Linked DNA regions of Macaca fascicularis. The protein of the gene in region 1 purifies or fractionates together with the protein of each later gene. This does not show direct contact. Links are inferred from orthologs where the notes say so. Each region holds a gene or a part of one and is shown on either strand. Other genes may lie near its edges.

Region 1 (3,169 bases):
CTTCAAGGAGATGCTCTGCCTGGGGCCCGGGGCCCAGCGGTTAGCCAGGTCTTCTCTCCTGCCTGCGGCACCAGGTATCCCAAGTGATGGTGGCTTGGAGGTTCCAGGGGGCTCACCTGGGCTCAGGTGAGATGCAGGTTATAGAGAGGACACTAAGGAGTCCTCCATTCTGTCCAGAGGGAACCAGAGGAGCTGGTCAAACCAGCAGTCACCGGGGCTGTGGTGAAGTCAACGGCCTCGGACGCAGGTCAATCTTCCAGAGGGTCCTGGCTGCTTTTCCTCACATCCTTTGCACTGTGAGCCCCTGGAGGCTCACGCTCATCCTGGGGGCCCCACGGAAGCCAGATGTGCCCCCAGCTAGATTCAGGCACCCAGCTCCTGCCCGGCTCTGTCAGCTCCTATAGGGGCTGGAGTGTCGGCAGGCTGAGTCCCAGAAGGACGTGTGGAGTGGGAATCCCATTCTCTGCCCTGGAAACATTCCGTCTGTGCTCCCAGGGGTCCCTAGGCCTGCGCCCCCACAGGCCAGCACCCCCAAACTGCAGACACCCTCGGGCGGGTCAGCACAGGGCCTCCATTCCCCCACGATCCTTCCCCCGGGGTCTTGCCACCTCCATTCCCAGTGCTTGAGAACCTGGGGCTTCTCTGCCCCTGTTCTGTCTATGGAGTGAAGGGCTGAGACCCCTAAAACAAGGAAAGGCGAGTTTAGCCTCCGTGGGGCAGGGGGCTGTATGTATCTTCCACTCCTCCCTCATGGAGAGGCCAGGGGACCTTGAAACCCTGGAAAAGAAGCTCAGCAGGGGAGACCCAGGACAGCATGGGTCCTGGAGGTGCGGGCGGTGGGTACCGCAGGCCCCAGCCTGGCCCTCGCTCGTCTCTGCCTGCAGGCATGAACGATGGTGACATGCGGCTGGCCGATGGGGGCGCCACCAACCAGGGCCGCGTGGAGATCTTCTACAGAGGCCAGTGGGGCACTGTGTGTGACAACCTGTGGGACCTGACTGATGCCAGCGTCGTCTGCCGGGCCCTGGGCTTTGAGAACGCCACCCAGGCTCTGGGCAGAGCTGCCTTCGGGCAAGGTAGGGCCTGCTGTCCCCGTCCTCCAAGGCCGAGACCCACAGCACAGCCAGCTCCCAGGCAGGGCAAATTCCCGAAGATGAGACAGTCAGGTTTCAAAGACATGCAAATTGGATTACTATTAATTTAGCAAGAGCAAACAAACAATTTTTTTTTTTAAACGGAGTCTTGCTCTGTCACCCAGGCTGGAGTGTAGTGGCACGATCCCGGCTCACTGCAACCTCGGCCTCCTGAGTTCAAGCGATTCTCCTGCCTCAGCCTTCTGAGTAGCTGGGATTGCAGGTACTTGCCACCATGCCCGGCTGACTTTTGTATTTTTTAGTAGAGAAGGGGTTTCACCATGTTGGCCAGGTTGATCTTGAACTTCTGGTGTCAAGTGATCCGCCCGCCTCAGCCTCCCGAAGTGCTGGGATGACCACACCCGGCCTAAGAGCAAACACTTTTGATGGCGCTGAAGCCCTGTGGATCAAGTTCCGGTGGGACTGCGTCACCCACACTTGGCCGGTGACGGTGGCAGGTGCTTGGGCAGGTTCAAGAGCTGGGCTGGGCTTGTTCCCTCCGGCCCAGAAACTCCACTCCAGGAGTTTATCCTCTTGAAACAATTTCCCCTCAAAAGAAAAGTCTGTATGCAGGAAGATTTCCACTAACACAGCAGTTGCAATTCTGGAAAAAAAAGAGAAACAATCCACCAACTATTTTGCAGCAGGGATAGTCACACAAATACAGTATGTGCGCCTGATGTTGCAGGGACAGGCACGCAATTACTGTACATGAACGTGATGTTGCTGCAGGAGCCAGTAAGCTTTGTAAGCATGAAGGCTAAGTTTATGGCCTGACGTTGCAATCACAAACCCAGCCCTTGCTGGAATATCCACCGTGGTTCGCCGGTGAAGGACCTGTACGCAGACGGACCCGCACGGCTGGGGCGCGGAACAAAGGGCTGAGTCTCGCTGTGGGACTCCTAGGTGCAGTCATCACACCCCTAGCCCTGCCATCTGCTGTGTCCACAGGATCAGGCCCCATCATGCTGGACGAGGTCCAGTGCATGGGAACCGAGGCCTCGCTGGCCGACTGCAAGTCCCTGGGCTGGCTGAAGAGCAACTGCAGGCACGAGAGAGACGCTGGTGTGGTCTGCACCAATGGTGAGCACTTCCCTGCGGAGGCCCCAGCGTGCCCTGGGGTCCCGTGGCCCCTGCCCCTCCCGGCACCACCCCCCCACACACGAAGCACACAAAGGTTCCTTCCACTACCACCTGCCCACTCCGCATGGAGAGTCCCGGACGTCCAAAGAGCCCACCAGCTCCCAGTCCCACAGTCCTGGACTCCTCCCCAGCCCCTTCTGGAGAAACGCCCAGAACCACCAAGTCTCCATGCGGAACCCGAGTGTGGGGCAGGGAGCCACAGTCTCAGTGAGCAGGACACCTGGCTGCAGCCCGACCTGAAGTGCCAGCGCCCGCTCGGAAACACACTTCACAGCATGCGACAGGCTCAAGCCCGTCCTGGCGGAGGGAGGCCCGACCACTCGCCGCCCCAGCCAGCTTCCCCCAACCCAGCCCGGTGTGGAGGGAACCCAGGCTGCTCTATGGGTTGGAGCCCCTGGATCTGAGTTTCTTGTGTTTCTTCCGTGCCAAGGTGGTTCTTCCTGGGCTTGCACAGGACAGCCTGGGTACTTCCTGCCTACCGCCCTTTGCCAGGAGCTGGAGGCCCCTAAGGCAGGAGGGGTCGAATCCCAGGGAGCCCCTGTGCCCACATGGGATGGACAAATGACTGGAGCCAAGCCTGGACTCACAGTGCGGGAAGCCCACGAGATGCCATGGGGCTGTCGGGGGCCGGGGGAGGCCAGGCGGAGCATGCGGGGCTGTGGGTGCCGGGCAAAAGCTCCTGGGGCAGGAGAGCTGTGGTGAGGCGTGCAGGTGGGAGGCAGCTGGGGGTCCTGCAGTGGTTCAGGTTTTAGGAGGCCCAGGGCAAGCCCACCTGGTTGAAAGGTCATGGTTACTTCAAACCTATTATATTTGTGACAAAGAAAAAACTATGGGATTTCGTTTTGAGTTAGGCTTTGAGAGGGGCTCAAAGAAGGGGGGAGGGTACAGCACAC
Region 2 (3,648 bases), on another chromosome or scaffold:
TCTGCAGAATATCTAGAGCTCTATGTCGCATAGTTTGAAAACTGTTGATCTATAGAATTTCGATGACATTTTTAGCATCTCTTTTCAAAGTCTAGTGATTTATTCATACATTATGACTGATAAGACAAGCTTGTACTTCTAACGTTATAAATTAAGTGGAAAATATAGTTTCATATGGCTGAAGGAAGAAAATACTGTCAAGTGACACTGATTTGTGAATTTAGAATGATAAAATCTGGTTTTATTGTGAGTTAATCTCTCAGTAGAACATACGTTTAGAAATGCTTATACCCACTTATTAAATAAAGCTTATTTTATTAGACTTCTTAGAAACCTTTGGATGGTTTTGTTAAAGGTGTACAAACTACTGATGCAGTTGCTTTTGTTGTCCACAGGTTGATGGACTTAATTCTCTTCACTCTGTAAAAGCTAGTGCTAACCGATTTACAAAAACAAGTCAGGGCAGAAGCTGGAACACTGGGAACGGGTCCCCTGATGCAATCTGTTTTTCAGTAGACAAACCTGGAATAGTTGTAGTTGGTTTCTCTGTCTATGGAGGAGGTGGAATTCATGAATATGAATTAGAGGTCTTGGTTGATGATGTAAGTATCACCCTTTCAGCATTTATCCTGATTAGTGGGTTGTGTATCAGGATTTACCATTGTCATAGTATGATGGGTCCATACCTTCAGGGGTTTACTAGATCAATTACAGATGAATGACACTAAAGAAACTGAAAAAGGCTGGCCACAGTGGCTCACACCTGTAATCTCAGCACTTTGAGATGCTGAGGCAGGTGGATGACTTGAGCACAGGAGTTTGAGACCAGCCTAGGCAGCATGACAAAACCCCATCTCTATGAAAAATACAAATATTAGCTGAGTGTGGTGGTGCACGCCTGTAATCCCAGCTACTCTGGAGGCTGAGGTGGGAGGATCACTTGAGCCCGGGAGGTTGAGGCTACAGTGAACCATAATCATGCCACTGCACTCAAGCCTGGGCAGCAGAGTGAGACCCTGTCTCAAAAAAAGAAAGAAAGAAAAGAAACTGAAAGATAATGATTTTACCTCATTGCTTGTGTTCCATCTTTCCACCTTGGATCACTACTGCTTATATTTTTTGTACTTTCAGAAAGAGAAAGATTTAAAGTGGAATTAAAGACTAAAATTTATTTAGCTAAGTCCCTGATGACAAGTCTTGAGTAGTTTTTTTTTTATATTGTAATTTTTCAAGAAACACAATGTTCAGATGTCATAGAGTACTAATTCAGCTATATCTTTCTAATCCATTCTCTAAAATTACTTAAAGTACCGGAGTTTTATTAAAATAGGACAGAAAGGGGTAGCATGTAAATCATTGCCTAGTAAATAGCAAGTTTATCTCTATCTCTAACTTGATTTTTTTGTTTCCTTTTTTTTTTTAGAGTGAACATGCTGGAGATTCAACTCATTCCCACAGATGGACATCTCTGGAATTAGTGAAAGGAACTTACACAACAGATGACTCACCCAGTGATATAGCTGAAATCAGACTTGACAAAGTGGTTCCTTTAAAGGTAGTTTCAACTGTATGTTTCTATTGTGAATAAGAAGAATTATTATGTAGTTAAAATAGTGAAGAGTATTCCATGAATTTTGTTTGTTAGATACAGCTATTCGTAAGTTATCCTTTATATGGTAGGTACTTCAGATATTTATGGAGTACCTACTATGTACCTGATGTTGTACCACATTATATTATATTTTTGTATAATGTTTCTTAAAGTCTGGAGTAGTAGGAAGCTTTGTAGTCAAACAGATTAAACTCTGGATACCTGCTGTTCCAACATACTAGCTTTAAGACACTGAGTTCATTATTTAACCACTTTGAGACTTATCTGTAGATTGGAAAGAATAATACCTGCATTGTAGTATTCTTGAGATTAAATAATAGAAATAAAACACCTGCCTCAGTGTCTAGCACAGTATGAAAAATAAGCATTAGCCCTGTCTTTTCTTCTCTTATTGTTTGTTGTTTTGTTGTTTTGTTTTGCTTTTGTTCTTTTTTTTTTTTTTTTTTTGAGATGGAGTCTCACTCTGTCACCCAGGCTGGAGTGCAGTGGCATGATCTTGGCTCACTGCAACCTCCACGTCCTGGATTTAAATGATTCTCCTGCATCAGCCTCCCGAGTAGCTGGGATTACAGCCACGTGCCACCATACCCAGTTAATTTTGTATTTTTAGTAGAGAGGGGCTTCGCTGTGTTGACCAGGCTGGTCTCGAACTCCTGCCCTCAAGTGATCCACCCCCGTCAACCTCCCAGAGTTCTGGGATTACAGGCGTGAGCCACCACACCCAGCCTATTTTCTAACAATATTTGGCAAAATAGAGAAATTTTACCACATCAAAGTAATTATAAATGTTAAAGTAACATTAAAGTATTTCTGAATTCAACTGAAATAAATTTCATTATAGGACAAAATTTTGGATAAGATCGGTACATGAGAGATTTCATCAGGAAGAATTTAGATACTGAAAAACCAAAAAGCTTTTATTGTGAAATTTATATCATGGTTCATAAAGCATTAGTTTCTATAGCTCACATTTTCAAAGTACAGTGCATTATATTTTGGACAGCTTTTTTCCTGTGGGTTTTTTTTTCTCATGTCTGTTTGCCTATAAATTTCTATCTCTGAGATTTTCTTAAAAATATAGCAGAGTCACCCTTATTTTTTTCTCACATCTAAAATTATTTTAAAAGTTAAACTAGTCAAGGAAAAGTATCAGCTTATGCAATTAAAATCTCGTATTGCTGGGCACAGTAGCTCACACCTGTAATCTCAGCACTTTTGAGACACCAGGGAGGGAGGATCACTTGAGCTTGGGAGTTTGAGGCCAGACTGGGCAGTATAGTCAGACCTTATCTCTACAGAAACACCTTAAAAAATTGGCTGAGTGTGATGGAACGCACCAGTGGGAGAATTGCTTGAGCCCAGGAAGAGGAGGCCACATTGAGCCAGGATTGCACCACTGCACTCCCAGCTGGGTGACAGAGCAAGATCCTGTCTCAGAAAAAAAAAAAAAGAAAAATTATTATGGCTAATATTCTAGCAGTAAAATTACGAGCAGGCACTAGTTACATTGGTTGTGTTCAGACCTAGTTCCATCACTTACTAGCTGTGTGACTTAGAACAAATTACTTAACTTCTCTGAACCTCAGATTCCTCATCTGTAAAATAGGGATAATAATGATACTTACCTCATGAAGCCATTTTAAGGATTAATTGAATTCCATAAAGTACTTAGGACAGTTGCTTTTATGCAACAGGCATTCAGTAAATATTAGCTGTCATCATGTTTGATTCATTAAAAACTTGTATCATCTGTAAATATGATAAGAAATTTCAGTATATTTGCCTATTTTACTGCTAGAGTTCTTTTTGTATATCCTCTGTACATTGTGAATAAATGTAAACATGTTTTACATCTTTATAATGAAGGAAAATGTTAAATATGCTGTGCGCTTGAGGAACTATGGAAGCCGTACAGCCAATGGAGATGGAGGAATGACCACAGTTCAGTGCCCTGATGGTGTGACGTTCACATTCAGCACGTGCAGCTTGAGCAGTAATGGCACAAACCAAACCCGAGGACAGATCCCACAGATACT

The links. The genes of interacting proteins can lie anywhere in the genome.
Region 2: the proteins of LGALS3BP (region 1) and MYCBP2 purify together in Homo sapiens (co-immunoprecipitation; 3 studies listed by BioGRID and IntAct, counting the BioPlex papers as one, with this or other methods). This does not show direct contact. The link is inferred for Macaca fascicularis from reciprocal best matches to the Homo sapiens genes LGALS3BP and MYCBP2.

Annotation. Positions count from the first base shown.
Region 1 is NC_088390.1:85,379,901-85,383,069, reverse strand, and holds part of LGALS3BP (galectin-3-binding protein), read left to right. Parts: intron 1-884; coding exon 885-1,076; intron 1,077-2,084; coding exon 2,085-2,216; intron 2,217-3,169.
Region 2 is NC_088391.1:68,187,781-68,191,428, reverse strand, and holds part of MYCBP2 (E3 ubiquitin-protein ligase MYCBP2), read left to right. Parts: intron 1-395; coding exon 396-602; intron 603-1,423; coding exon 1,424-1,555; intron 1,556-3,478; coding exon 3,479-3,648. UniProt on the Homo sapiens protein: Atypical E3 ubiquitin-protein ligase which specifically mediates ubiquitination of threonine and serine residues on target proteins, instead of ubiquitinating lysine residues.